Rhinolophus ferrumequinum: one gene and its partners. The protein of the gene in region 2 purifies or fractionates together with the protein of the main gene of each other region. This does not show direct contact. Links are inferred from orthologs where the notes say so. Each region holds a gene or a part of one and is shown on either strand. Other genes may lie near its edges.

What was found.
Region 1: the proteins of NCBP3 (region 2) and THOC7 purify together in Homo sapiens (co-immunoprecipitation; 3 studies listed by BioGRID and IntAct, with this or other methods). This does not show direct contact. The link is inferred for Rhinolophus ferrumequinum from reciprocal best matches to the Homo sapiens genes NCBP3 and THOC7.
Region 3: the proteins of NCBP3 (region 2) and THOC6 purify together in Homo sapiens (co-immunoprecipitation; 3 studies listed by BioGRID and IntAct, with this or other methods). This does not show direct contact. The link is inferred for Rhinolophus ferrumequinum from reciprocal best matches to the Homo sapiens genes NCBP3 and THOC6.
Region 4: the proteins of NCBP3 (region 2) and THOC1 purify together in Homo sapiens (co-immunoprecipitation; 4 studies listed by BioGRID and IntAct, with this or other methods). This does not show direct contact. The link is inferred for Rhinolophus ferrumequinum from reciprocal best matches to the Homo sapiens genes NCBP3 and THOC1.

The regions. Positions count from the first base shown.
Region 1 is NC_046300.1:57,897,549-57,905,035, reverse strand, and holds the start of THOC7 (THO complex subunit 7 homolog), read left to right. Parts: upstream 1-4,482; 5' UTR 4,483-4,617; coding exon 4,618-4,636; intron 4,637-5,226; exon of another isoform or gene 5,227-5,347; intron 5,348-7,487. UniProt on the Homo sapiens protein: Component of the THO subcomplex of the TREX complex which is thought to couple mRNA transcription, processing and nuclear export, and which specifically associates with spliced mRNA and not with unspliced pre-mRNA.
Region 2 is NC_046304.1:14,691,550-14,699,225, forward strand, and holds the start of NCBP3 (nuclear cap-binding protein subunit 3), read left to right. Parts: upstream 1-4,660; 5' UTR 4,661-4,717; coding exon 4,718-4,900; intron 4,901-6,818; coding exon 6,819-6,884; intron 6,885-7,676. UniProt on the Homo sapiens protein: Associates with NCBP1/CBP80 to form an alternative cap-binding complex (CBC) which plays a key role in mRNA export. NCBP3 serves as adapter protein linking the capped RNAs (m7GpppG-capped RNA) to NCBP1/CBP80.
Region 3 is NW_022680357.1:4,524,582-4,532,558, reverse strand, and holds the start of THOC6 (THO complex subunit 6 homolog), read right to left. Parts: upstream 3,007-7,977; 5' UTR 2,914-3,006; coding exon 2,875-2,913; intron 1,902-2,874; coding exon 1,786-1,901; intron 1,681-1,785; coding exon 1,616-1,680; intron 1,526-1,615; coding exon 1,422-1,525; intron 1,334-1,421; coding exon 1,296-1,333; intron 1,213-1,295; coding exon 1,164-1,212; intron 1,057-1,163; coding exon 985-1,056; intron 896-984; coding exon 793-895; intron 710-792; coding exon 660-709; intron 572-659; coding exon 509-571; intron 412-508; coding exon 301-411; intron 217-300; coding exon 82-216; intron 1-81. Other genes in the region: HCFC1R1 (host cell factor C1 regulator 1), read left to right, coding at 3,317-3,411, 3,710-3,766, 3,853-3,981, 4,214-4,349; TNFRSF12A (tumor necrosis factor receptor superfamily member 12A), read right to left, coding at 5,380-5,435, 5,546-5,680, 5,911-6,015, 6,736-6,829. UniProt on the Homo sapiens protein: Component of the THO subcomplex of the TREX complex which is thought to couple mRNA transcription, processing and nuclear export, and which specifically associates with spliced mRNA and not with unspliced pre-mRNA.
Region 4 is NC_046302.1:16,794,433-16,801,350, forward strand, and holds the start of THOC1 (THO complex subunit 1), read left to right. Parts: upstream 1-3,903; 5' UTR 3,904-4,066; coding exon 4,067-4,120; intron 4,121-6,193; coding exon 6,194-6,267; intron 6,268-6,361; coding exon 6,362-6,422; intron 6,423-6,918. UniProt on the Homo sapiens protein: Component of the THO subcomplex of the TREX complex which is thought to couple mRNA transcription, processing and nuclear export, and which specifically associates with spliced mRNA and not with unspliced pre-mRNA.

The DNA of each region.
Region 1 (7,487 bases), on a different chromosome or scaffold from region 2:
TTGCCAGCCTAATGGAGAATGCCACACAGTTGTTAAGAACACTGGACAGGTCTGATAGGTCCTACAGATGTGGGGTACCTGCCCAAGGTAACCAGAAAGATGTGAAAGGCTGTTCTGAAAGTAGGATGGTCCCAGACGTTTATAGAGGAATGAGTGTAATTAAAGGTTTTCTCTATGAAAGAATGCATTAGCGATTTCCTTTTAAAGATGAGAATGAAACCATCCTCAAATTGGCTACCGCTTTCAATCATTTCCTAGGAACCTAGAACTGAGCATAGCCTTTTGTTTTTATTATCTCATTTAATGGTCATCTCTTCCAGACTCAGAGGCTCACCCACTCAAGTAGAACACAACCAGAAAGCTCAGGAAATGGAAGTCAAACTCAGGTTGTCTCTACTCAGGAGCTTAAAGCTTATGTTCATAACCGCTATCCACTTGAAAGCAGAAAGTATGAATGCTCACCATGAGTAAATGAGAGGAAACAGGAAAGACCACAGAAACAGTGGCAGCAAGCGTATTTTTATGGCCACGAGCCTTATAAGTATTTTATTCATATATCTCTTCTTTCACTCATAATACCCTCTCTTCCTTCAATGTTTAAAGAAAGGAAAATACAATTCAGTTCTTCCATACTCTTTCCTGTTGAGAAAAATGGATGCAGGTACCCACTTGTGGAGGTCTTAAAGATATCAGAATTAGACAGCCAAAGTCCTAGGTTTAACTTTCACTAATGAAATCCCTGGGGTACCTGTGAGGGTCCCTTAAAGCAGGGGGTGTGCAAACATTTTTAGAGGTGAAGGACTGGAAAGCAGACGTGCAGTTTTTCACTTAGATTTTTCATTGAAATCACAAGTGAAGAGCAGCAGTTAAATGGAATCTGACCCAGAGACAGGCGATGCTGCTGCGTGCCTATTGCTTCTTTCTGCCCAGCACTCAGGGCCTTCGCGCGGCCACCAGCACCACCATTCTCCTTCAACTTTTCCCCAAACGTCTACAATATAAGAACCAGTAAGTCTGAACTCATTTTTAAAAACTTGACTTTTTTTCCCAAAAGTTTCAATATTTTCATCATACTTATTTGAAAATAACGTACATCGGTATCATGTACCATGTTTGTTTATACATGTTCACGCAGATGTTTATTAATGGTTACCCACAACTAGCTTCCAAGTCCTTCCTGGGCACAAATAAGGGGCTCTGAGTTTTACACCAGGAACTTCACGCCAGCTTCCTAACACCTCCACTAAGTCAGTCTTCTCCAGATGAGGAACTTGAGGGTCAGGCAAGTTAAGTAGCTACAGTAAATGAAAGAACCCAGAATTGAACGTAAGCCTGTTTCGAGTCAGAAATTGTGTTTTTCCCATCACACCCTGCTGTCTTACCAAAGCACAAACCCATTTCTTAGAGTGACTACCTCCCAGTCAGATTTCAGATTCGCTGGAGAGTAATAAGAGAGTGGAACTGAATGAACCATTTGTTCCGAGGACTGGTTGTCAGGCTCAAGTCTCTGTTATGGACCACAAATCTATCTGTTCTAAAATTTTAAATATAATTTAAAAACAGCCACAATGCACTCAAGATAGCATGTCAAGCCCTTTATGTGCGTGCATGGTTTATCAACTCACAGGCGACGCTTTGCTGTGGGAACAAAATGGAAGTCTTTTTGCACCTCTAAGACCACATGACTAGGCTGAAGGAAACTTTAAAAGGCAAGTATTGAACACCAAGATCTACTTTTTCCTACTTGTTTCTCTTAAAAATTATTCGAACTCCCATTTAATAAAAACATCTTTCTCTAACTTTTTTGGGCCCTGGACCTATTTTAAAACCATAGGCTCTCTCCCCAGAAAATCACATATACAAAAAGTTTCGGTCACAACTGTAAGGGGGTCAGGAATCCTTTGAAGCCTATTCGTGGACACCTGCCCCACCCCCACCCCCACCCCCACCCCTGCTCAGAGGTTCACAGACCCCTGGAAGACCCTTGCTCTAAAAGGATATTATAGAAATGCCTACATCATTTCATAAGACCAAGGTAAAGATCATATAGCTAGTTATCTTATCATCCTTTATAGTTTCATAAAGTTAAAATTAAATAAACACTGAAACAAACTTCCTTAACTAGACTCTCATAGTCTCAAAGAAACCAGGAATCTCATGACTTGAGTAAATCACCAAATCTACGGTCATTTAAGTTCAAAGTCCAAATCAGTTTGTTATAGCTTAGAATCTGCTACTTCTTGCCGAGATTTTCCTAGAAAAGAAACATCAGTATGGCCTAGAACTTGAGCTCTATTTTAACGTTCATTAACATGTTAATATATAATCGATCACATGAGAAAGAGACAATGTCTAAAATTTACTAAAATATATTCTTTCACTATATATGATATGAAGGAAAGTCCATTAACACAATTTTTAAATGTTCAGCACACAGATCTGTGTCAATGCAACTGCAAGGTAAATTACGTGGCTGACAAAGCAGATTTTTAAAAGTTCATAAAGGCTCAAATTTTGATGTGTTTCCCACCACCTGACTCAAAAACTTCCAGGAATGTTTATTTTCAGGTATATCTCCAACTTCAAAGCCTTTCCCATCTCTCTTGATCTTCTTCAGAACATTTCTAGCACTGTCCAATAAAGTTGTAAGTTACAAAACGAACTTACAAAATAAAGGATAGGATGTCTCATGAAAATTTAACAGTTACAGAGGACAGGGATACTTATCTATAAACAACATTAAAGATTATTTTAAATCACTAGATACTGTTTCAAAATCTGTATTATGATAATGAGACTAAGTAACAAGTAACTTAAAAAGAACATCGTTTCACCCAGACAATTACCTTTTAAACAATAATGATCCCTGCTAAAATGCCTTTGGGATAGACAATCAATTGACACATTCAATTTACAATGTATAGTACTTAAGACTTAAAGTAATTCTTCTTTTGGTTAGAGTATCTTCTCTCCTAAAACCAAGAAAATGAACAGGGACTGATGCAAATAGGCAGCCAGTGTTTAGGACAATATTATTTCAAAGCCCAAGAGGTTTCAGGCCCTGGGGGAGGGAAAGTTACACCTAAGAATCTTCACTCAACCTAACTTTATTTATTTATTTACCTCTGTGCCAAAAGTCAAAGGTGCTGATTCTTCAGAACACTGTTGAAGAGCATAATTGAAGTTCTGACTTCATATATGAATAGTATTTTACATACACTGGATTCCTAGCTAGAGGTGAAATGAAACACACTTCACTGTTGTTACACATTTGCATTTACAACTCTTCCTCTTTGAAAGAACTGAGAGAAATGAACCCAACTTTAGTAAGGAAACTGAAACCACCAGATCCACGCCACTAAGTGCTACCTCCGGGAGATGAAGAGGCCGGTTACTTGCGGGATAGGAAAATTGGAAAATAACTCTATGATCAATAAAATATCAAACCTGGGTTCAACACTCAGACACGCTGCTGGTGCCCTAACTGAATCTATCCCACTGGAGAGCAAATCAGCAGCTGGGTCGGTGCTCGCCTCTTCTCACTTTTCACGACCTAAAGGTTGCCATTTGTGAGAAACTCATCGAAGTTGAATCAAAGTGACTTTTGGGAAGAGATGCCAATATAATCTGCAGTGTGCTCCGGAAATGTGTAACTTTACATACAAGGCAACGTTTCTCATTAAACACCCCCTCCCCCTTCACTTTCAACTTCCCCTTAAGATGGGGACAGTCACATAGACATTTTCCGAAAGTCAAAGAGAAAAATAAACACAAGCGCCCCATCCCTGCCCAGCGACGGGATTCGGGCGCCGGGGGAGGGCGGCGGGCACACCGCTCTGCGTCGCTCCGCGAACTGCTCCCGGAGGTCGCCAAGTTTCTCTTTCCCCCCTTCCCAGCACCCGCCAGTACCCAGGAGCGAAAGGGGCGGCCGCCCCGGCCGGCAGCACGCGACCTGGATCCCGGGGCCTTTTTTGATCACCGGCCGCGCCCGGCGCAAGTGCCCGCGTTGGAGACCCGCCGGGGCGCGCGTGGGCGCCAACTTCGCGCCGACCCTCGCGCCGCGCCCCATCGGTGCCCTTAGTCCCACGTCCCCCGGGCTCGGCAGGGGCCGGGCACCCACGCCGCCCTCCCCACCCCCGGGGGGCGAGCCCACCCGCAGCAGCAGCAGTCGGGACGGGGCGGCGGGGGCCGCGGTCCGTTCCCCGGAGGGGGCCGGGACCCCGACCCCGGGCGGCCCGCGGCCCCCGCCGCACTGGCGGCGCCCGGGCGAGCTCACCTGGCGGCTGGCGGCGGCCTCCGGGGCGGCCTCTGGGCGTGGGCCGGGCGGGGGCGGCAGGGGGGGCGGCGGGGGCCGGGGCTGCAGCCGGGCCGCCGCCGCCTGCCTGGCCTGGCTCCCACACGCGCGGGCCGCGGCCGCCCCCGGGGAGTGCGGGGAGCGCGGGGAGCGCGGGTCCGGCGGCGGCGGCGGCGCGGCGCGGCTCAGGCGTCGGAGCGGGCGGCCGCAGGCGCCGCCGCCTCCTCCTCCATGGCTGTTTACCCGGCTGCATTGTGGGAATTTGACCTCCGCCGCCGCCAACCGCCGCCTCAGCCTGCGCCGCCGCCGCCGCCGCGCACGCCATGGGAGCCGTGACTGACGGTGAGGCCGCTCGCCGCCGCCCGGCCCGCTCCCCGGACTCCCTCGGCCTCCCCCGGGACCCCCAGGCTCCACGGCCGCTTCCGGGAGTCCCCGGGCCTCGGCGATCAGACCCCTCCCCGGAGGCCGGGGCTTTCCCGGCCGCTTCCCCCGAGCCCTCCGGCCTCGCTCCGCAGCCCCTCGGCCCCCTCGGAGCCCCTCTCGCTCCCGGGGCCGCTCGCTCTCCGGAGGCCACGCGGGGCCCGGGGGGTTGTGCTGGGATCGTCGGGAGGCCGGGAGGCACACGTGGGGGCCCGGGAAGGCTGGGAGCGCTGCGTGGGCGGGTGGTACCGGAAGGGGTCCGGGCTGTCGGAGGATGTGGTGGAGGAGCCCTCGGTGGGGGTGGGGGGTCCGGGAGGCCCGCGAAGGGGAGGAAGTGCGGGAGGCCCTGGATCCGGGGGTCCGGAGGGCCCGTGGGGGGCTGGGGGGAGTGCGAGCCCCAGGGATGGGGCGAGGGTTTCGGGCCACGCAGGAAGGAGACACGTTCCGGGACGAGTGTAGCAGGGGCGCCCGCGTATAGCGGGTGACACCTGGAGGAGTCCGGGACCGGTGGGGAAGGGCCCCGGCACGACGGGGTGGATCCCAGTGAGGCCCGGAACTGGCCCCGGCTGGCGGTGGGGAGAGGAGCCGAGGACGGCCCCGAAAAGGAGGTGTGGGCCGGGCGTCTGCCGGACGGTCAGCGTGCACGGGGGTCTGTGGGGTGAGAGCCGGAGGAGGGGTCGGGCCTCCCGGGTGGAGCGAGGCGACGAAAGGAGCGCGTGTGTCTCGGGGAGAGTGCGTCGTCAGCTGGGACCGGGGGCAGGGGCAGGGGCTGGCCTTGTGGGGAGCTGTGAGGGCGGTTTAGGGGGGTGGACCCCCGTGAGGAGGGCCCAGCGGGTGGTCGGTGCCCCGAGAGCAGAAATGAAACAGGGCGATGCCTCGGGGAAGGTGAACAGGCTCCGTGGGCAACTGCGGGGGGAACCTGAGAAGGTTATCAGTTTGGGAGGAAGGAAGTTCTGTGACATCTGGGCGGGGGGGGGGGGGCCAGGTCGCTGGGTCTACTTGAAGAGAGTGACTAGTAAGCGTAGATGCCTGCGGAGAGGCCACTTCTGAAAAACTGGAGGTAGGAGGGACCTCCACGTTAAGGGGCTCGGCACTGGGAAGGAGAGTAAAAGGCCCCGATTTGAGGATGTGGTGAGAGTAGTGAAGTGGGAGGCTCTTAACGGTCCAGCTCCGTCGCTGGAAATTTTAACTTTGCTTTATTCCAGTTTGATTTATTCAGTAGATATTTATCCCCCTGGGCTCGGCTTTGGGATTCCAGCCGAGAACCAACAGGCGAGACCTTTTGCCCCGCTGAGAGTACAGTCTAGTGGGAAAGACACAGTGGATAACTCGTTTTAAGCCTGGCAAACGTTACGGCAGGAGAAGTGTAAGCTTGAGAACTGGGGAAGCTTGTAACAAAGATGGCTAATCATTCTGGGAGATCAGAAAGCGTCCCTGAAAAAGTTAGTCTTAATCCCATTTTTGAAGGATAAATAGACGTAGTTGGACTTGAATGACGTGTGCAAAAGCCCCAAAGTCTAGAAAAAACTCAAAAATGACAAATACTGCCTAGAATTTAGAAAGTTGTGAACCAGAGATTTCTGAGTGCAATGCATTAAAAAAACAACCACACTCTCTACTATGTGAAGAATGATGAGAGGAAGGGAAAAGCGAGGAGTTGTAAGTTCCCACCCCTATTTCTAACATTTATATAGTGTTATCGTATGTCAAACAGTGTTGTGATTTTTATTCCCACTTTACAGATGGAAGTGGAACACATATATGTATTAAGAAACTTGCCCAAGGTTGCACAGGTAGTAAGTTGTAGAGCCCGGGCTCTCAGCTGCTACTGTAATGGTCCTACTGAGAGCTAATGGGGGCACCACTGAAGAAGGAATGCAGAGAAGTGGACAGGTGGGGGAGAGATTTATGGGGGCGAATGTCAGGATCTCAACGATGGAGTGGATGGCAGGGGAAAGATGGAGGGTTATCCCAGGTTTCTGATTTGAGTGACTGTATGCTTGTTAGTCCTACTTCTCTTTATTGAGGTGGAGAACTTCAAAGTAGAGAGGAGTTTTGTCCTCCAGGAGATGGAAAGGGATGATGAATTCTAGTAAAGTGACTGACTACAGTCAAGGGCCCCCCGCATGCTTAGAGGCTACAGGAATCTCCAGAAAGCTCTCTGACCTTGTGCAGATTAATTAACCTCTTGGAGCCTCAGTTTCATTCTTTATATGGGGATGATAATAAAATTGACCCCATGGGGCTTTGAGTATTAAGTGCAATAAAAGTTGTAAAGTGCTTTGCACTGAGTCTGACACATAATGTTCAATAAATACTATTAAATGTAAGAGCTGGTTTACTCACCTCTTTCCACTTTCCTTTGATGAGAAATGTGCCTTCTTCCTCTTTCTCTTTTCAATTACAGTTGACATTCAATATTAGTTTCAGAGGTACAGCATAGTGGTTAGATATTTATATAATTTACGAAATGATCCCCCTGATAAGCCCAGTACCCACTTGGCACTATATGTAGCTATTATAATATTATTGACTATGTTCTCTACGCTGTACTTTACATCCCCCTGACTGTTTTGTAACTACCACTTTGTACTGCCTTATCCCTTCACCTTTCTCATCCAGCCCCCCAACCCCCCTGCCATCTGACAATCATCATTTTGTTCTCTGTGTCTATGAGTCTGTTTCTGTTTTGCTTGATCATTTATTTTGTTGTTTAGATTCCACATATAAGTGAAATCATACAGTGTTTGTCTTTATCTGACTTATTTCACTT
Region 2 (7,676 bases):
AAGGGATGGTGGGCTGCGCCTCCTGCAACGAGAAAGAGCTAGCGAGGCCAAGGGGGAGGAAAGAAATCTCGAAGCAGCGAGACTAGCTTGTGCAAGGGCCCTGTGGGAGGAGGGACAATTTGCTTTCCAAGAACTGAAGTAGTGATGTTGGGAGTAAGGAGGAGAGTAGTGCCTGCAGCTGGAGAGGAGGAAGGGCTGGATAATGTGCTGAAAAGAGGAGGGATAGGAGTGGAGGAACCAGAAAAACAGAGAAACCAGTGAGGAGGCCACTGCAATGTCCAGACATTGCAGAGGTGATATGTTGGTGGCTGGGATGGAGAGAAGCTGAGGGATGAGAGCTGAAAGGAGGGACAGAAGCAGATGGGCACGAGGGATATGTGGGAGGTCAGACTGACAAGACTGTGTGGCCGTGGCTATGGGGGTGGGAGAGGAAGGTGTGAAGGGTGGCTTCTGGCTTCCACGCTTGTACACCTGGATTCACTACAGTGCTGATCAGGGAGGTAGGGAACACAGGAACGGACCCGGCTTGGAAGGAGGATTCTGACTCTTAGTCAAGTTGAGTTTGAGGTGCCTTGAGACATTCAAGGGAAGATGTCCAATAAGTAGTTGAACATATGGGTCTGGAGCTCAGAGGAGAGGGCAAAACTGGAGATGCAGATATGGAGTCCTCAGGCTGTGGATGGCCGTGGAATAGGAAGCCATGGGTGTGATGAGATGGCCCAGGGAGTGAGCACGGGGTGAGAAGAAAGAGGGCCCAGGATCGAGCCCTGGGAGATTGTTAATGCTGCGGGAAGGAGGAAGAACCCTAAAAGGCACTGGAGCAGGCGTAGCCTGGGAAGTGAAAAGAAAACCAAATGTGATCATACAATAGAAGATTGTGTGTGGTTTCAAGACCTGGGGAGCGGCTATCAGTGTCCATGATGCTGAGTGGTCCAGTCAGGTGGAGAAAGTGAGGGAACACAATCCTTTCAAGAATTTAGCTGTGTTGGGGTTGGGGAGCATACGGGGTCTGACAATTAAGTTTGTGAACTCACTCTAGAAAAAGTGCTGCCTACCTCATTCCTGAATATCACTACGGTCACCTTTGAAGCACTCCCCTTGGGAAGCTGTGCACCGACGCCAGAGCCTAGTCCACCCTTCAAAGCAATTTTGAAACTCTTTTTCTGGAATGGCCATCAGAGCTGTCGTCATATTACCCTTGATGTCCTGAATGTCATCCAAATGTCTTCCTTTCAATATTTCTTCTGGTAAAGAAAGAAGTCATTGAGGCCTGGATCAGGTGGGTAGGGAGAGTGTTCCAATACAGTTATTTGGTGACTGGCTAAAAACTCCCTTACATGCAAGAGCCATGAATTGTTGGGGAAAATTTCAGGTCGTCTAACTTTTTCACACAGCCCGTTCAGCGCCCAAATAGTAATAACCTTGGTTATCTGTTTGTCCAGTTGGTACAAATTCATGATGAATAATCTTTCTGATACCAAAAATAAGTTAGCAACATTGTTGCAACAAGCCCACGAACTTGTCAGACGCGGTAGATACATATATCTTCTGCATCACGGTCAGCTGCCTCAAGACCTTTTCTTTCACTGTAGAAGCTTTTCCTTAATTACCAACCTGCACATATTCCAAGGACGTGAAATGGGGGTGTGGGTTGTGGGTGTCCAATTTAAAACCGCATCAAAGAACAACTCTGAATCAGCAGGGCATCACCTCAGGCCCGTGGACCATGTTACCAGTTCTCAAGTAGCATTTGATAGGAGCTCATATTACCTTTTAATGGCTTTTCCCTTTTTTATCCCAGGAGAGGTAGGATCCCATTATTCATTCCCCTCTTCCCTGGAAGAGAGAAGGAGTGGCCAATTTCAGTCAAAATTTTAAGAAAGAGGAATCTTTCAGAAGACCCTTAATATCCTCTTTGTCCCTTAGCCTCCACCTTCACAAACTTCTCAAAAGAGTTGTCCACACTTCCGCAAATTCCACTTCTAATCTACCGTCCTCTTCATGGACATCGTCTCATCAAGGTCACCGATGGCCAGCAAACCTCTAGACCCAAGCCAAGTTTCACTGTGAACTTATGGCTGCCCTTGATACCTGATCACTTCCTGGGTGAAACTCTTCTTTCAGTCTGTCCCAGTGTCCCACTCTCCTGGTTTCTTCTGTTAATAAAAAATCATCCAGACTTTGGAAATAGGAAAAAAGAACAGGAAAAAGAACTACACTGATATTCTTTCAATGTAGTGCCAGGTGTACCTATTTTGCCCAGGGGTTATTGATTCTCTAGGGATGTGTACCTTTGTGTACCTTCCGATTTACTATCTATTAGGGCATTTTACAGCTCTGTAAGGGTAGAAGTTAATTTATAGAAAATTCATAATGAGCAAACAATTCTTGTCCAATAGCGATGCAAATGTTTTCTATCTGGTAGAAAAGGAAACCCCAAAGGTTACAGTTTTTTTGCCTTGTAGGACATTAAATTGTGTTGTTACATTAATTTCTGTGTTCTTTTGACTGACCAACTCTGTATTCATTCCCAAATTCTTTTTTGAACCAGTGTTAATATCTTTTCGATGTCTTCATCCCCTAATGAATGAATAAAAGCTTTGACATGTGTTCATTTCATATTGGGGAGTCATGTTTTTCAACTTTTCTTTTTTTTTAAGATTTTATTGGGGAAGGGAACAGGACTTTATTGGGGAACAGTGCGTACTTCCAGGATTTTTTCCAAGTCAAGTTGTTGTCTTTTCAATCGTAGTTGTGGAGGGCGCAGTTCAGCTCCAGGTCCAGTTGCCTTTGTTAGTTGCAGGGGGCACAGCCCACCATCCCTTGCAGGAGTCAACGAGTTGAACCGGCGTCCTTGTAGTTGAGAGCCCACTGGCCCAAGCGGGAATCAAATCTTCGGCGTTAGGGGAATGGAGCTCCAACCACCTGAGCCACCGGGACAGCTCTCAACTTGTTCAAGAATTATTTTTGACCACTTCTGTTTCCATGGCCCCACTTCAGCAGGCTGCACCGAGGACAGGAAAGGGGGGCGGGTGGTGAGTCAGGTGACTAAAAAGAGACAAAGACATGAAGGGCTTTCCTGACGGAAGTCTAGGAACCCTGGGGTTAGCCTGATGCCCTGACTTGCTCTGGATTTCTAATTCTCCTGCCAGCTAGAGCTCTGCCACAGGAGCTGGTTCTCCCTGAACGCAGTGCCTGAGTCCTCAAGCCACAAGGCTCCTCCCACCCTGCAGGGTGAGAGGCCTGCCCAGCCTTTTCTGCTTTTCCGGGTGTCCATAGCTGAGAAGGGATTCCTCCTCTCCTCATTCCCCAACCCCTCAGGCCTAGAAAACACGTGTAATGGTGGGGTTTGTCACTGTCGCCCAAAGCTAGCCACCCCAAGCACAAACTTTCTCTGAAATGTTCTTAAAAATTCACACAAATGCATTCCATGCATGCAACCCCATTTTGTAACTAGTGTCCCTTTTGTCAAAACTAGCCCTCTCAAGAGCTCCATCTTTTTTGTCCTGTGATTTAGCCCACATTTAAGAAGAACTGATGCACTGTGTCCCTTCTATTTGATCCTGTATCTACATGTAATTATCTCATTGAACCCTCACACCTCCTTTGGGGGTGAGGAATGTCCCATATTACTGCTGAAGCAGCTGAGATTCTGAAGTGGTAAGTGGCTTGCCCAAGGTCACACATGGTGTAAGGAGCGGAACCAGCCAGTTTTGATGCTGATCATGCTCTCTCTTGGTTTATAATTATTTGTTCCTCCATGATCATAGCTGGCAGGTCCTCAGGGACCCCAGGGTCCCACCCATGCCCTCCTGAGATGGGAAGACAGGCCCAGAAAGGGACCAGAACTAGCTCAAGTTAACACGGGGAGGAAGGTGCAAAATCTGGACTCAAAGCAAAAACTGCCCTCTGGAAGCTTATAGGACACTCCCCCTCTCCCAACCAAGCTCTTGTTGAAATGTCTGCAAGAAACCATGTTCAGAACCTTACAGTGGACTAAGCCCTCTGGAGTCAGGAAATTGAGGGTTAAGCTCTGGCCTTTGGGCAGCTCACTACCCTCTCGGAGTCTCAATTTTTGTGTATGTAAACTGGGTCAATTATTGGGACACCTGAAAAAGACTAACGTTGTTAGTAAGGCAAATACATTGTAAACCTACAGAATACCTAGAGGTGACAGACCAAAGCTCATTCTGGGCTCTGGAGCCAGATTAGATTGTCTAGGCTCAGATCCAGGTTTTTGTCTCTTAAATAGTCTGTCACCTTAAGTAAATTTTTATGCCTCAGTTTCCTTATATGTGAAATGGGGACTAACACTACCTACTACTTCATAGGGTTGTTGTAGGGATTCAAGCGCTTGTAACAGTCACTGGCACGTAATGACCTCTTAGTAAAGTTAGCTTTCATTACAGGCTTACTGCTCTAGGCGTAACTGTTAGTTCTAAGCCCAGAAAATACCGATCTCCTCCAGGCCCTGCCCCCTCCAACAGGCCCGTCCCCATCTCCATTCGGTCCCGCCTCCTCATCTCCAGGTCCCGCTCCAGCCTGCCCGGGTTCCTCCTGCCACCAGGGGGCGGCAGCGCTAAAGGGGGAGGGGCATTCTAACTGAAGCTGGCGACGCTCTAGGTAGCGGCGGCGGCTGCTCTGTAGCCAGTGGCGGCGGCGCTCTAGCCAGCGGGTGTGCGGGGCGGGCTCTCAGTGGTGCGGCCGGCGGGCGGCGATGGCGGCCGTACGGGGCCTGCGAGTGTCGGTGAAGGCGGAGGCCCCAGCGGGGCCGGCCTTGGGGCTCCCATCGCCTGAGGCGGACTCCGGTTTGGAGCGTGGCGAGCCGGAGCCCATGGAGGTGGAGGAGGGCGAACTGGAGATCGTGCCGGTGCGGCGCTCGCTGAAGGAACTGATCCCGGTACGGGCGGGGGACGGTGGGCGAGGAGGAGGAGGTCGCTAAGAGAGCGAGTGCCCCGCGCCGAAGCGGGCCGGAAAGGGAGGCGGCCGGCGCCCGGGCTGGGGGAAAAGTCAGGGGAAGGGGAGCGAGGGGGGCGAGCGCGGGGGGTGGGGGAAGGGGGCTCCAGGCTGGAGGCGAGACCCGGAGCGAGAGAAAGGACGCTGGGGCGCCCGGAAATGGGTGTTGAGGGGGCTGGAGGAGGTGGGGTAGAGCTGGAGGGTACTTAAGGACGTCCCTTTCGCTGCCCCTCTGAGCTAGTCTGTGCAAGGGGGTGATTGAGGAGGGGCTGGGATTGTCTAGGGGCTTGAGATAAAGGGGGAACCCCAGGCGGGAACAGGACCAAAAGTGGCCCAGAAAGAACTGTGGCGCCAGCATCCAGCCCTCCTTGTGGGTCGTGCTCCGGTGGAGCTGGTGTCTGTAAAACCTAGCACTCGCGGGTTTCTCTTGGAAGGGTGGGACTTGTCAGCAGCAGGAACTCAGTGTTTCTGTTGTGGCTTGAGGGCCGTCTTGTCCCCCATGCAGCCCCACTGCTATGTAGCACCTACACCGTGGCCCCAGCATCTGACCCTTAATGAACCCAGAACATCAGCGAACAGCAGTGGTCCTTGGTCTGTTTTTTTAATCACAATGGAGATACTGAGAGGTGTTTTGCTTGTGGTTTGGTGGTCCAGTGTCCGGTTCTTATGGCTGGTCTCAGACCTGCATGGCTCTTCTCAAGTACTTAATTTCTCACCCAACACAAACTACTTTTTACCACGTCAGCAAGACATGCTTTTAAATTGAAATTATGGGGAGAGGTGAAGGTGGGAATCACTAAAGATAGCAAATGATAGTGATTCTGGTAGCAAGGATGAACAAAGTGGCATTTTACCATTAACTACATTGTATCATTTAAATATTACCCAGGTTGTGAAGTCGACATCATCCCTTTATTCGTTCAGTTTAACGTGTGTCTATTGCATCCCTCACTACAGGTGCCTGGCACAATCCTAGGCACTTGATCAAGATCAAACTCCCTCCTGGAGTTTATGTTCCAGTTGGAGGACACAAGTAACAATTTCTGATAGTGGTAAATGCTATGAAGAGAATAAAACATGTTAATGGGAACAAAAGTGCAGAGGGCGGGGGGCGGGGTGCAAAATGGGCAGCAGAATGGGATAGGATGATCAGGGAAGTCGTCGGAGATAGTGACATTTAAGCCAAACCCTAAACGACAAAAAGGAGCCAACCATGTGCAGACTTGGAAGAGAGTGTTCCCAGCAAGGGCAACAGTAAGTGCAGAGACTGAGATGGGAACAAGATTGTTTTGTTGGAGAAATGGAAAGTTCTGCAGCATAAGTGAAAGAGGTCAGGAAGGCCTAGATACGAGGGTGGATACCTAGGCCCAGAGAGGCCAAAGGAAATTGCACAGTGTTGTGTAATCTGTGAACTGCGACTTGAGTCCTGAGCTTCCAAATCCCACCCTCTTCACTGCACTGTGCTGTTTTCCCTTGGAGGTCTGGGTGAGTCGGGGCTTTCTGCATTTTGGTGAGGGCTTGTGCTCCACCTGGTGGCCTGGCCTGGTGCCTTTGATCTGTCTGGGTTGGAGGGAGAAGTGGACGTTTTTCACGAAAGCCTTTAGATTTTCACTTACACAGGTACTTTCAATAGATGGAATTACTTCAGGTGTTGCACAGGCTCTGATCTAGAAAAGACTTCTCATTAAGGTGGTTGATGGCTACCAGGGAGTCCCTGGGATGTTGTTTCCTCATAATAAGGGTTGTGAGGGTAGGGGAAGGATTGCTGAAGCGAATGACTATTCAAAAGGCATCAGCTGTCTTTTATTATGAGATTTTCCTCAATAGCTGTAAGCATTTCATACATTTCCCCCTCGTGTTAGGACACAAGCAGAAGATATGAAAATAAGGCTGGCAGCTTCATCACCGGAATCGATGTCACCTCCAAGGTAAGACAGACCAGGATTTATTTATTCATTTTGAGAAGCGGGTGAACTTCGTCCCTAGGACTTGTGGAACTGCAGTTATTCTTTACCTCCTATTTTGTTTTGCTGCAGAATTAAACATTTTTAACTTAAATTTCATATTATACAATGATGCCTTTGTGCATTCTGGAAACATCTGGGCAATATTTTGTTCTCATATTCACGACAAGATGAAAATCACAATACCAGGGTGACTGCGTAACCACATCCAAGAGAAAGTTCTGCACTGGGAATGCTTTTTTTATGCTATGTCCCTTCTTTAAAAGTGCATATACTGTTTCCACTTTAAATGAAACAAAACATGAATAATAGCATTATATTGCTATATTGGCTGTATAAAAGCAAAAATAAAAATAAATATGTCATGCCTATGTTTTATCTGGGTCTCAGTCTGTCAGATGGCTTAAAGGCCAAAAGAAAAAACTGACCTTTTAGACAAGAAAATAAAGTGAAGATGTTTTCCTGTTGTAATTGAAAAAGAAGTGGACTGCACTGTTCTTAATCCTACAGTTTGCCATTATGTGAAACAGATATATGGGGGAAAGGGTAGTAATCCCAGAACTGATACTTAAATTATGGCTAAAGGAAGGTAGATTGTTTGCACTGGCAAGATGTAAGTGAAGAAAATTAGCATAACTATTGGGAAGTAACAGAAGTGTTGCTGCTTTACCAATCCCCACAAGCTTTCTATAGTCAGACCTTCAATTAGTGTGGCAAAGTTAATACACAGTGAAGGGTTCCTAAGAGCTATCCGAA
Region 3 (7,977 bases), on a different chromosome or scaffold from region 2:
GTGTGTGTGTATGTGTGTGAGACTGACCTGTCCACACACCCCTGGCCTCCCAGGACTCCCACAGCTCCGCGCAGGACCCACCTTGCACTCAGGTGCTGCTGGCTGCTGGTTGAGGCTAAGGCTGAGCAGCCCTGGGGAGGAGCCAGGCACCTGCGCCTTAAGCTCCCCACTCAGCTGCCACTGGTTGACGCACGGGCCCTGGCCGGCTGACAGAATCTGTGGAAGGCAGGGAGGGGATTGAGGGGTCAGCGCTGGAGAGGGGAGCTAGGCAGGGGTGGCAAAATGGAGACAGAGACTCACCAGGTCCTGGTAGAAGGTGACGTGCTTCTGTGGTGCCCGCATGGGGAAGATGGTGGTGGGTGTAGAGGAACGGAGGTGCCAGAGGGTGAGTGCTGGGCCCCCTCCACAAACCTGGGCAGAAAGGTGGGGTCCCCAGCCTCCTAAGCCACAGGCCCTCAGCTGGTAGGGCCTGCAGCTGCCACCCCATCCTGCACTTTGCCTGGCTCACCATCCAGTCTGAGTCAGTTGCCAAACATCCAATCCAGCGCCCATTGTGGGGCCTCGAGCACTCCTGAGAGGGAGGAGGGGAAGAGCAGAGGAGGTGAAGATGCAGAAGATGCCCAGGGAGAAGGCAGGACAGGCATGGGACATGCCCTCACCTCGTGCTTGTAGACCTCGATCGTCTGGACCTCCTTGGCCGAGCGGAGATCTGTGGGGGAAGAACCATGAGAGGCAGCCTACTTCCCCCAGCCTCCCTCACCACCATCTTTCCCTCTAACCAGAGTCCCTTACCCCAAAGCCGCACAGCCCCGTCCTCGCCACCTGACAGCACCTCGGGGCTCCGCTCCCGCAGTGCCAGGCAGTGGATATAGTCTGTGTGGCCTCGGAGAGCCCTCTGCAGGAGAGGAACAGTGTCAGGACAAGATCCAGAAAGAAGGCCTTCCCCCACCCCACCGTGACTGCCCAGCTCCACAGCCCTCTTACCGTGAAGCTCCCTGTCTCAAGGTCCATCATATGCAACTGGCAGTCTCCCCCTGCCAGGATAAGCGCATTCTCCTGCAGAGGAAGACAGAGTGGGGTCAAATCAGGACAGGGACAGGGAAGGATCACAGCTTGGGCCAAGAACAGGGCAGGGTAGAGACTTAGTTACAAAGGGTTCAGACCTTGGGGATGAGAAGCAAAGCATTGATTTCTGGTACTTCCAGGCTGGTCCTGGGGGAGGGAAAGCAGGGTCAGCTCTGGTGAGGCAGCACCTCCACCCCCACGTGCCCTCTGTCCACATGGCCCTGGCTCACCTGTATGGGGGCTGACGATGCCACAGCTCCTTGCAGCCCTTCATGGAGGAAAACAACGAGTGACCTCAGAGGTTCTCTTTGGAGTTGGATGCCCCAGTACCCCTCCTCCAGCTCGACACTTCTTACCTTCTTGAGGATCTCTGCCCACAGCCAGGCCTTCACCTCCCCATCCCCAGCGCTGAACATATGTCGATCAGTGGAGACCATGCAGTAGACCGGCCCATCGTGGGCTAAATGGAAATGCAGAACCTGAGCGACCCCGTCCTGCTCTCCTCCTCTACCCTGGGGTCCTCTAAGCCAGACTCAATGGCTGCACCCACCTTGGAAGGTCACTGCGGGCTTTTTACTTTCCTCTTTGGCCTCGGAGCTCAAAGCAGCAGACAAGCTGAAAGGAGAGGGGAAGAGGGTCTGAGTCAGAAACAGGGGACATCAGTCCTGGGAGAGCCAAATGCCAGAGCTAATGGGTTGTGGGGAGCAGAGGTGAGGGTACCTGAAGATGGCTATCTGCCCATAATTGTTGCCAGCTGCCAGGAACTTCCCACAGGGTGAGACACTCTGGGAGAAAATAGTCATGTGCAGCCGCTGTAGGGCCTGAAACACTTCCATCTGTGGGGAGAGACTAGATGAAGGCAGTCTGGGACCTCTGCTTCACAGAGTCCTTCCTAGTTTCCGTGCCGCCAGTTCAGCCACTGCCCAGACTTCTCCACCCTCCTCTGAGGTCCACCAAGGTGGGCACCTGCCCATACAGTCCCGGGGCTGGCTCGAAGAAAAGGTAAGGAAGAGGGGAGTTGAGGCGTGATGCCTAGTAGGACTTTGAGCAAGCACCCTGTGGGGACAGAGCCAGGAGTACAGTTTCCAGGCTCTCGCCCTCACATGGAAAGGTGCTCACTCGGGTAGTAAATGGCCATCAACTGTGACTGGATGGCCATCAGCTATGGCTAGTTGGCCGTCAGCTGTAACCAGTGAGCCATTGGCCACTAATATAACTGCCGTGGCTATGCTAGCAGTAAATGTGGGCTAGCAAGAAGATGGTGGCTGAGCTAGCAAGCGCAGATTACAGTTGGCACGGCGAATTGCAGTTAGTAGGGCAGATTGCAGCCAGCAATTGTGGTTGGTTGGTTGGCAGAGAGAGAGAGAGAAGCGGACAGCAGGTTGCAGATCGTGTGGATCCTGTTTCCTGTGTCTCCAACCCATTCGCCAGCGAGACTATGGTAGTATGACTCCCCTATCTATGGCTCCGTGGGTGTTCCTTTTTGGCCTCACCATGTCCTGCGTTCTTATGAGGGGAGGGGGACCAGAGACCCCGCATGACACCCTGCATAACACACCCAACCTCTCCTCAAAGTTCCCTCAACTGTCAAATGAAGCTCACAGGACATTCTGTCATGACTGGATGAACTACTGTATATAAAGAGCTTCACACAGTGATGCCTCCTACAAAACGCATAAACAGTGGCTCTATTACCCCAATACAGAAAAACATATTGCCTTCTAATTACTACTCTCTGACTTTCACGTTAGGCCCCTGTGGGGCATGGACCACAAACCCCAGAAGGCACCGCGCACACGCCGGTCTCACCTGACCCAGCGGCACCGCGTGGGGCAGAGCTCGCTCCATCTGCAGAACTACAAGTCCCAGACTGCTCCGCACGCAACGCAAACTCACGAGTCCGGACGTGCCCCAAAGCGGCTCACCGTCACTGAGCTTCACCCGGTCAATACCGCCAGCCGGCTCGGCGCGAAGGCGGCCGCCGCGTACCACCAGAGTCCCAAGAGCCGCAGTGACCGCCGTGAAAATCTCCGACACCAAGTGGCTCCCACCGCAGCCCCGCTACTCCAGATCCCCTCCCCCACCCGGCGAATGGGCCCGCCTTCCAGCCGCTCGCCGTCCGTCTTTCGCGCCTGCGTGAATCTTGCTGCTGCGCGCGCCTAAAGCCACGCCTCCCGCGTTGGGCCACGCCCTCGGAGGCTCCGCCTGTCGTCCGGATCCCACCCCTCCGCCCGCAGGACCCCGAACCCCAATGATCCTTCAGCAGCCTCTGGAGCGAGGCCCCCCAGGTCGGGCCCAGCGTGACCCGCGGGTCGCCTTGGGGGCGCCTCGAGGCCTGGACGCGAGGTGTGTGTGTGGGCCCTGGGTGGGCCTGGCCCAGGGGCGCTGGAGCTTTGGCTTGGGGCTCAGGGCTGGTCTGCAGGATGACGCGATGGGGCGAATCAGCAGAGTTTGGGCATGAGCTGAGACGAGTTTGGAGACTAACGAGGCAAGCTGCTGAATGGCCCGGGAGAGTGGGGGTGATTTAAGTGTCAACTGAGAGGGATTGGGTGGGGGTTCCTGGCTGACGTTGCAGGCTCAGGCCGGCAGATCTTAGGGTTGGGGTCAAGAGGGTGGGGTGCACCTGGTTCTTTTTTCTTCCCAGCCCCCCTCTCCAAGGAGCTGTGCCCATGAGCACCAAACGGCGCCTGGAGAAGGAGCAGTGAGTTTAGGGGCAGGGAGGGACTCCCAACAAGACCTGTCACCTCAGGTCCCCATCAGCCTGCCTGCCTCCCGGTCTCTCCCTAGGGAGCCCCTGCGCAAGCAGTTCCTGTCTGAGGAGAACATGGCCACTCACTTCTCTCGACTCAGCCTGCATAATGACCACCCTTACTGCAGCCCCCCTATGGTTTTCCCCCCAGCTCTTCCCCCACTCAGGTAGGCACCATTCACTAGCTACCCGCTAGGCCCTCTGGAGAATCACGCCCTATCAGAGCCAACCTCCAGGGCCTGCCTCATCCTGCTATTTTTAGTTTCTAGCCAACCTCTGTTCTCATCTTGGCTCCTTAGAAGGCGCCTGCAGCCCAGTAGCCCCTGGGGACCTGAACCTGGTGGTGGGTGGCTCTGCCAGGCCAGCCTCAACCCTGTGCCCTGTCATTTCCTTTTCCAGGAGCCCTTGCTCTGAGCTCCTTCTCTGGCGATACCCTGGAAACCTGATCCCTGAGGCTCTACGGATGCTGAGGCTGGGGGACACCCCTGCCCCCCACTATCCTGCAACCCCAGCTGGGGATGTAATGGAGCTCTGAATTCTGGCAGACAGTACCCCTGCCCACCCTCCTTCTCTCCAGTAGGGGAGACCAACACCCCCATGAAGGGACCAGCTGCCCTGCTTTTCCTCCAGACCAGGCCTCTGGGCACCAGAACCTTCCCCCAAAAGAGGATACTGAGCCCAACAGAACCCTGGGGTGGGAGGGCCAACAGCATGGGAATGGAGGCATGCCCCCCCCCCCCAGAACTGAATAAAGATTGCTGAACAGAGGAAGTCTTCAGTCTGGAACCTAGGGCCTTTGGGAAGAGGGGGCAGAGCTGGGGCACTGGATAGTGGGGTTTCTCCTCAAGATCTTCCCTGGAAAACGGTCAGGGCCTAGCCAGGTCCTGGCAGTCGAGGCTCAGACATTGAGAATGTGTGAGTCAGAGCCTCGCCCCCGCCCCCGCGGCTGACTCACTCCTCCCTCCAGCTCTGGGAAGTCAGGCTGGGGATCATGCCACTCTTCGAACCATTTAAAGTTAAAGATTCTTTTATTAATAAATTCTCCCCCCTCCAACCTTTCTCCCCAAAATAAATATCTCCCCCCCTTTGAGGGTTGGGGGGGCAGTGTCTTAGGGCCAGCCCCCCTAGAGGGCCAGCCCCCTAGTGTTAGGAACAGGTCCCTAACCCCCCAGGCTGAGACCCCAGTGCTGGAATTTCAGCTCATCTGAGTGGGTAGGGCCTGGTGTTGTGTCTGTCTGTCAGGTCAGACTGGCTGCCAGGCCATGGGAGGGGGGACCCTTGTGCAAATGTAGCAGTTCCTTAGTGTCAGCTGTCTGGTGTGAGCCAGCCTAGGTCTCATTTTCTGTCCTGGAGCCAGAGGCAGGGCAGTCAGACACCTTGAATGAAGGCTCCTCTAAAGTCTGGGTCCAGGCCTCAGAAGTGATTCACCCGTCCCTCATCCCTGCCCACCCCTGTGGTTGGAGCAGCCTGGCTCAGGGCTGTGTCTGGGAGGCAGGGTCTGGCTCCAGAATGAATGAATGAATGATGAGTGGGCGTGGCCTCCTGCTGGCAGGGGATGCTCATTGTTACTGGATCAGAGCCACACCGGGACAGCCCTCCCCGCCGGTCTCCTCTATGGGGGCTGCAAGATAAGAAGAGGGGTCGTCAAGAACAGGGAGGACGGTGGGGACTGATGGGGTGGGGGGGTGGGGGCACGCGGGCAGGCAGGCAGGAGAGCCAGGGCACACTTACTGGTAAACTTCTCTCTCCTGCGGCACCGTCTCCAGACCAGGAAGCCGGAAAGGAGTCCCAGCACAAGGGCCAGGCTCAGGGCTCCCCCCAAGATGGGCCACAACAGCTGGAAGGTGGCTGGAGGGGCCGCAGCGCCTGGGGATAGGACTCGAAGTCAGACCTCGCTCCTCTCTGAACCAGCCCCACTCCCTAGATCTGAGCCACGAGTCCCCCCCTACCAAGACCTCTACCCAGATTGGAGGCCCTCACTCCCGCCCCCCTCCACATTAATTCCCCCGATCTGAAGTCCCCTACTCCCCTCTACCCCAGCAACTCTCTCCCCCAGTCTGGGGGTCCTCTCGCCTCTGGCTCCGCCCCCCACTCACAGCCCAGGCAGAAGTCGCTGTGCGGTCGCGCCGGGCACGACGCGCAGTCCATGCACTTGTCGAGGTCTGCACTCCAGGAGCTGCCGCGAGAGCAGGGGGTGGTGCCTGAGGAGGGGGCCACGGGTCAGAAGCTGGGGGCGGGGCGTGACTATTCTGGGGGCTGAGGTCAGGGTCGGCAGGCTCGAATAACGTGAGTCACCGGCGCCCTCCTCCCGCATTCCTCACAGGTGACCGCACGGCCCGACCGGGACACGGCTGCGCGGGGAGTGGGGGGAGAAGGGGGGGCGTAGCGCGGGAGGTCAGGTCCCCACAAACCCGCCCGCCGCTGGCGGGTGACTCATTCCTGGGCATCGGGCCCGACCCCGGTCCCTCCCCCCGCATAGCTGGGCACTGAAGTCACCGGATGGAAGGGGGCACCCCACATGTGATGGGGGCACAGACCCCCGTGCCTCTCGACACCCCCTCCCGACTCTTCGGTCACTGGGGCTGGGCACACCCGGTATTGACCAGGATGGGGGCATGTCCCCTCACCGGACGAGACATCCCGCCCTCAAACTTTCTCCACTTCCGAGTCCAGACTTTAAAGACAGAGAGGTTCCCCGAGTTGGACAGGCGGGAAATTGAAGCCCTGACGGGATGAAGCTCGGAGCGAGATGGGACCTCCCCTGACCAGGGAGTGCGTTGTCTGGAGACCTGACCCCGGATCCCATGTCCCCCTAGTTCTGCCCTCTCCGCTAAGCCCCCAAGTCGACTCCCCGATTCCCGGCCGAGGGTTCCCCGGCCCCCACGCCCTCCTGCCCAGTCCCTGCTCGTCGCCCGGCGTACCTGGCACCCGCTCCCCCGCCACAGCGCACAGCAGCGCCAGCCCGAGCCACAGCACCAGGAGCCGCAGCAACGGGCGCTGGAGGCCAGGAGCCATCGTTAGCGTCCCGCGGGCGCTGCCTTCTGCTACCGCCGCTGGCCTCGGAGACCTACAGCCCCAGCCCCGCCCCCGCCCCCGCCTTCCGGGGCAGACCCCTCGTCTGGGCCCGCCCAGCGGCCCGCCCCTGGGCGTCCCGCCCCGCCTGGCCCGCTAAGTTCAATCGTTCGCTCTGCAAACACCGTCCTTGTGCGCGATCTTCTAGGACGCAGTCCTGGCTGCCCTCTCGGTGCTCAGGTCCGGGAGGTGTGTGTATGTCTGCGTGAGTGTGTGGGTGGGTGGATCAGACACGAAACCACCCACTGACCCATTGCAGACATAACTGCCGCTCTCTTAAGAGCCCCGGGGTATAATAATAAACGTAACACAATGATGTTTAATTTCTACCTTAGGACATAGTTACCTAGTAAAATGCGGGCTTGTTGTCTCCATTTTGCAGAGTATGAAACTGAGGCTCGGGAAGGTTAGGTTAATTCCCGAGGTCACAGCAGTAGGACTAGTAAGTGGCGGAGCGGAGACCCAAGCTCCACGCCCTGCGCCTAGACTTACCGCGGGCCCCGACGCCAGCCACTGATGTCCTCGCACCCGGGCCAGCTGCAGACCCTGCAGCCCCAATCTCGAGCGCCCCCGACTGACAAAGTTGGGATTCGCGCTCCCGCGGTGGTCTGGAATGGGGTCTCTGCCCCTCCCCGGGGCGGTGGTCCAGTGACGTCACTGCCTCTTTAAGACCCTGCCTCCGCCCCATCCCCGCACTCCGCCGTCTCTTAGGAATCTCCGCGGACTCCTTCCTTCGCAGGTGAGCCTGGGGCCAGTGTGCGTGTCGGGGTGAGGGAGGAGATGGGTGCCTCCAGGAGCGGGGTGCTGGGGGTGTGGCCTGCTGGAGAACTTGGACTGATCTGGCTACCGCCACCCGGCCGACCAACCCTCGGGCGCGGGGCTGCACGGAAGCCGACGAGCAGATCGAGTCCTGCGACTCGAGAAGGGTTAAATGCTCCTCCTTCCCTCCCCTGGGACAAAGGCACCGAAACCTGGGCTCCCCTCCCCCACCTGAGCTGCTCTCTGGGGCGGGCGCCCCTCCCCCTCACCTGCTGGAGCGGACCCTTGGCGGGCGCCGCCATTAAACTATCCTGGGCTCGCGCCTCCCGGCT
Region 4 (6,918 bases), on a different chromosome or scaffold from region 2:
GTGTGGTCCAACCAAGCTCACCAAACAAGATTTTACCAGGTATACTAGATAATTATATACACAGTACTTAACGATTTAATAAAATAATCATACTGCATATATAATCCAATATTGTACTTGTGACTGGCAGATAACAGGCACTCAATAAATATGTGATGAATGAATAATACACTAATACAAAATGCTTGAAAGTTGCCACCACTGTGGCAAAAATACAGCACCCCTAGTTTTTATGGGTGCTGTAATTCCTCTTTTTCCACAACAATATTCACAAAGTGCCATCCCTCTTCTACTATTCTTCTTCCCAATTCCATTCCTTTCCCAACAATGATGTCTCATTCTTTTTGCTCATCTTTGCCACTGAAACATCCATTCCCTGTCAATATTATTCTTTCAATCCACTCAAATTACAGAGAGAAAGAAAGGGAAAGATGGCTAAGGCCCAGAACCGGAACCAGCAGAAACTGCAATCTAACATCCTAATGTGGTTGACTAGTGAGCGTGGAGCCAAAAGTTTCCTTTTGCCAGGACTAGAGGATAAAGACTAGAACAAAAGCAGACTAAGCTGCCCCCTTGGTCCTTTTCTCCTAGATCTAACCACTTCAATGGTAACTTGAATCCAACTAAGATCACACCAAGGAAAAGAAGAGGAATAAAGAGCTGAATACTTAGAAATTATCTAAATCACCCAGCCTAGAATTTCCCATGGAGAGTATTTCCTAACAGAGAGGCAGGTCCATCTTACCTCACTAGCATAAGAGGAAAAACAAGTGCACAATAAATCTAAGTGAAAAGGTAACATGTTACGGGATGTCACCTTTTGAGTGTTATTATTACATTCTTTTAAAAAACTCATAATGTGTTATTGATGACAGTATGATCCTCACTCTTAGCCAACAGCAAGGCAATAATTTTTGAAACAATAACTAACCCCATGGGTTAGTAAAGAATCAAGAGTTAAGACCTGAGAAAAATACAGGCTTTGGGATTAAAGCCAGGCTCAAATCTCAAACAAGCTTCTAGTCATGTGACAGATGAGCCTGTTTCCTCACTGATAAATAACTATGTATAATGTTGTTCTAAGGAGTAGAAGTAATACAAGAAAAGCGTCTGGCTCATAGAAGGTGCTCAATAAAACGTAAGCATTACTTACAACAGTATAACAGTGTAAAGAGTACAATATTTGGAATCGAAATCCCGGGTAGTCTCATTTTGCCAATTACTTTTATCAAGAACCCCATCTCTTTGAGTTTGCTTCCTTATGTGTAAAATGGCATAACAGTTGTATTACCCACCTTCAAATATCACTTAGAGGAGCAAATGAGGTACTAAATGTTAAGTGCTTTGGGGATTATAAAGTATTAATTAAAGTGATCTACATGTTAAAATGTTTTTACTGTAGTGATTTTTGATGGATAAATTTAGTATTTTACCCATTTTTAACTATCTTTAAGTGTACAATTCAGTGGTACTAAGTACATTCACGTTGTTTTGCAACCATCAACACTATCCATCTCCAGCACTTTTTCATCATCCCAATCTGAAATCTGTACCCATTAAACAGTAACACCTCATTATTCTCTGAAGATTGTTACTTTTTTTCCTACTGTTTCTTTATCTGGTGTTTCAGCACTCAGCAGCAAAGCAGTTCATTTCTCTCCTTCCTCCCAAATATACTGCCAGCTATAACTTGGCAGGAAGTGTAAAAGCCATTTTTAAACATTCTTTGGCCTCAAACATTAATACAATCTGGTTCCAACTTGACTGTTCAGCCTTATTTCTGTTCAGAATCCAATGTTACAGTAAAACAGTTATCTTTCACTATGCTTTCTCCCTTCCACACTTCTGCTAATACCAGTCTCTCCATTGGGAATATCTTTCCTTTTCATCCCTTCCCATTCCTGTCTATTGGAATCCTTCTGGGTCCAGCTCATATTCTATCTTCTCCTTGAGGGCTCTATGATCACCTCATATGGTAGCAATTGCTTTCTCCTTTAATCTCTTACAGCAGTTATAATCGAAAGTATTTATAATAGAAATTGTATGTACACTGTAATTGTTTGTTTCTTTTATGTCAACCAAACTAAAAGTTTCTCAAAATAGGAATTAGGCTTCACTATTTTGTTCATTTGTTCATATATCATTCTTTCAACAGATACTGTGTATTGTGTATAATGTACTCAACAAATGTTTGCTGACTTTTTTGCTGAATAAAGAGAATTCTAAGTCACTGGGCTTTGATGGATGAGTCCAGCTCTTCTTATGATTGGTGTTTTGTAAAAAATAACTGCATTTCTTTCTTGGTTCTTAGTTGTGTTCTTGATAGTTAATAATCTTCTGTAATATAATAATCCTATTAATCAGCTACCTGTTAAATCAGTTAATACCAGTTTAATTTGCCAATTTTGAGACTTGTTATACCATCAAACCTGAATGATTCTGTTGATTCTAAAAAAAGACAACAGTGCTCCAGCCATCACTGTTCACAATTCCCACTTACAGGCAACACTATGCAAAGTTATCTTTTTGTTGGCTTCCTACATTCTCTTTGAATGTCAATGAAGGGAACAAGGTAAAGCACACCTAGCTTTCATCATTAGGTTACACGTGGAAACGAAGAAGAGTTGGCAGGAAGTTTGTGTTTGGGTCAATGCATAACTTCCTTCCCCACAGCATCATTCCAACTAAGAAAGTTACTTCTACTTGGCTTTTCATCGGCCAAGCCTCTCCAGTGAAAGGAGACAAGGGAGGAAACTGCCGAGGACGCAGGATTTTGCCAGGGGTGCCTCTACCCTGGAGGCAGTGCCACCCATTTTACTATCAGCGCCAAACACTGCATTCCTCCAAGGTCTTTCTCCTTCTGTAGAGACCTATATATGGCCACCAAGTTAACAATTCCAAGATATAACAATAAGTCTTATATGGCTACGTATGCCACACTTGCATTTATTTCATTCACGCTTTCCAACAGCACTGTGACAGATATACCATATTTTGCCGTGTATAATGTGCACTTTTCCCCAAAAATTTGTGAGGTAAAAATAAGGACGTGCAATATACATGGGTAGTACTAATTCCGTATCTATATGTTTTTAATTCATTTATGCTTATGAGTTGGAAGTGTTGTAACTCTAGAAATCAATAACGATATCCATATGCAAAATAATACCCTGGAATACGATAATCAGTTTTGTTGAACTTAAGATGAACTTGCAACGACCAAGAGTTCTTGGCCTTCTGTGATACATAAATATGGTAAATTTGTTACCGGTACATAAAATTTCTCGTACCTTGTATCTGTTCTTATTTTTTGTAATTATTTGTTACATAAAATTTCTTATACCATAATGTTAAAAATATAAATGCTAAAATTCCTTTATAATACAAAAAACAAGTACCTAAATGTGAACAAATAACAATTTGAATTAAAAAATGTAAACGAAAGATTTTTTTTCCCTGAAAGTTTGGGCCAAAAACGTGGGTGCACATTATACACAGGAGCACACGGCAAAATACGAAAGTACTGATTCTATTTCACAGAAGGGTGAACTACTGCTGCTACAAGGCCTATGAACTACAGAGCTGATACAGAAATCGGGAGCTGAGACTACTCCTTCCTGGAGCATGACCGCGGTCCGCGACCCACCGCCACTGCCAACACTTCCCCAGCCTGGTGCTTTCCTAGATAACCTCCTTGTCCTGGATTCTCGGGCAGCGGTTACCTTCCCGCATCGCCCGTTAAGCTACCTAGGGCTTCCCCAAACCCGGAAAACCACGGCGGTGCGCGTCAGGACCTATTTCCCGCCCTGCAGCGCAGAGCTCACAGGGCGCGGCCCCGCCCTTATGCCGTCACCCCAAAGGTTACCCACGAACCGGGACAGGGCATTGTGTGGTTGACTCTGGCTTCCAACGCCCACCTGACCTCCACAGAAGCTCCTAATTGCCAGCCGCCCCTCCCCTTTGCTCACACGCCGCTCCAGCAGCGTACGCAGCCGGTAATCTCTTTGCTCCCGGCTTGACGTCATCGGCCTGCGCCGCAGCGCGGTGGCGGGCACGCGCAGCCAAGATGTCTCCGACACCGCCACTCTTCAGTTTACCCGAAGCGCGGACGCGGTTTACGGTGAGCAGAAAGCGGGAGGGTGCAAGCCTGACCCGGCGCTTCTCTTTGCCCTCCTCTCTAATTACTGGACTTTTGCTCTGAGGTAAAGCGGAGACAGAGGTGCGTAAGCCGCAGCGTTGGCTCCCGGCCGCTTCGGGGGTTGGGAGGTGGAAAAGACGCTGTACCTGCCTCATCCGCGCATCCTCTGCGGTCCGCCTCCTCCATTCCGCGTTCTGGTCGCCGGCATGAAGGGCTCATCTTCAGACTCTCTCTCGTCCGGTCCAGCTCCTCTGCAGCGCTCGCTTAGCCGGGCAGGTGTCTCCAGAACTGGAAGCGAGCTGGGGAAAGAGGAGGGCGGGAGTGGTTTTAGCCCAGAGGACTGGCTCCCGCCCCGCCTCCTAGTTGCCAGGTGGTTTGTTCCGGCTGCCTATTCACCGTACCTGTAACCCTCAGTGTCTCACTCCTAAGAGATCCTAAGTGGGAAAAGACAAACAGAGCAGTTTGAAAAGGGTTGTCAGATGTCATTTATTCCTACATATTGGAGAAGAGTAGCTTTAGCATTTGAGAAACACCTTACAGAGCGTTTTCATGTTTAAGTCTTAGCATTGTGAAGTAGGCTAGGTTTTATTATCCCCTCGTAGATGAGAAAGAAATGAGACACACGCCCCTGAAAAGTTAAGTGATTTACTAAACTGTTTTTTTTCTGACTTCAAAGCCAGTATTCTTTTTTTGTTACCCATACAGCACCCAGCACAAAGAACCCCTGTTCTAAGTTATTTGACTGTTATTTGTCTTTAGCATTTGTGCCAATGTTTCAAGTCATCATTCAGCTACTCACATATTTAACTGCCTACATAGTTATAGTGATGCCAGAATGAAAATTCTGTGAAAGAAAATTGATTCTTTGTAGTAAGTAGTTTTTTGTGTGCAGGTTATTTTTTTCCTCATAGAATATTGAGTTTGTTTTTCTAATACCAGATTATATCTAGTTTATGTTATCAGAATGATTTTCTTTCTGGGCATTTTGCTGTAATACTGGTGCTTTGAAATTCTAAGAGTAATTGTTAGGACAATCCAAGATCACATTAATCCTGGAAAGGGCCATTTAATTGGAGATCATCTAGTCTGCTGCTTCTCCAGCTTCAGTGTGTGGTGGATCACCTGGAGATCTTGTTGAATGTAAATTCTGATTCAGTAGGCTTGGAATGGGATGTGAGATTTTGCGTTTCTGTCAAGTTCCCAGGTAATTCCACTGCTGCTACTGGTAGTAAGGATCTACAACAACCCTTTATTTAACTGGTGAGGAAAATGAAGCATTAAGGGGTTTGCCCAGATTGACACAGCCTATTTTTGGCAGAGTCAGGAATGGACATTTCCATCTAACTCCTGTGAGGTAATAAGATGACTGTTCGAATCATATGTGAATTTTCACAGAATGAATTGACTTTTCAGTATTTTTGTCTTTCAATTATGACTAAGACAATCGGCAGGTATTTGTTCAGTTTACTATGTGTGAGGGACTATGCTGAACAAGCTAAGCTATCTCACTCAAGGAAGTCTGACTTGAGATGAGTCCTGAAGAATGGATAAAATTTGCATAAGCAGGTGGGAAGAACAACATGAATGTGTAAATACACTAGAGTGTACTTGATAGAAAAATAGGGAAAAAATGGCTTGACCTTAGTGGAGAGTATGTGTTAGAGGGTAGTGGGTAATAAGGTTGGATAGATTGAGTGGGATAACCTTCTCAAGGACCTTGAGAAGGAGCTATCAGACTTCAAAACCAACGTCTGTAAATGAGGAGCCATTTGGAGACTTTTTTTTAAAAGCAGAATACTCTCATGACTATGATATTTAAAGAGATGGTAGGAGGGAAAAATTGGAATGAGAAAGTCTAGCTAGGAAATTCTTTCCAGGTTTAACATGATGAGAGTCTATATGTCAGTAAGTGGCATTTGAATAAAAACTACCGATAGAATGACTGATGGATAATTTTTCCCGGTTATAAACATTTTTAGATTTAATGAGTTATATGTTTTTCAGTAATTAATAAGCAAAAATCTTTCCACTTACTTGCTATATTTATTTTTCTAGAAGTCTACCAGAGAGGCCTTGAACAACAAAAATATCAAACCATTGTTGAATACCTTCACCCAGTTACCTGGCAGGTAAGGCATTAGTATCCATGAAACATGCTTGCCTGAATCTTTATACTTACCCTGAGCTGTTTAAAAAATGGAGCTTGTCTTTTGTTTTCAATAGTGAAAATGAAAAAAAATGTACCCTTGACCAAGCTTTCAGAGGTGTTCTAGAAGAAGAAATTGTAAGTATGTTTTCCTTTATTGTTAAAATGTTGCTGGCAAATTAATAAATTCTGTTATTTTTTTAAATTGCTTTTATTCTTAGAATGAGTGTTTAAATATGATTTTCTAGCATGAGCTTGCTACTTTGCGAAAGCTGACTATATCATAGTATAGAAGTTATGTAATAATTAAGGATTTTGACAGCACGGATGCTAAATCATTAGAAGACTTTGTTTTACTAGATGAAGAGAACCCTCTCCAAGTGAAGAGTATAAGAACTCATACCTTTTCCAAGTTGATGTGAGGTGTTCCTGGGCAAGAACTAGAATTTGAAAATGGGCCCTCTCGCTTTATTATATAGACAGTGACACATTCTGTAGTTGCACAAAAGATCTAGTCCAGGGACATTCAACATGGAAACTAGGATTCCATGCTATCATTTTTTACAGTATGCATCCTTCTCATCAGCATTTAAAAAAAATAAATAGAGCCTATCCAACTTCAGTAGAGAAATTT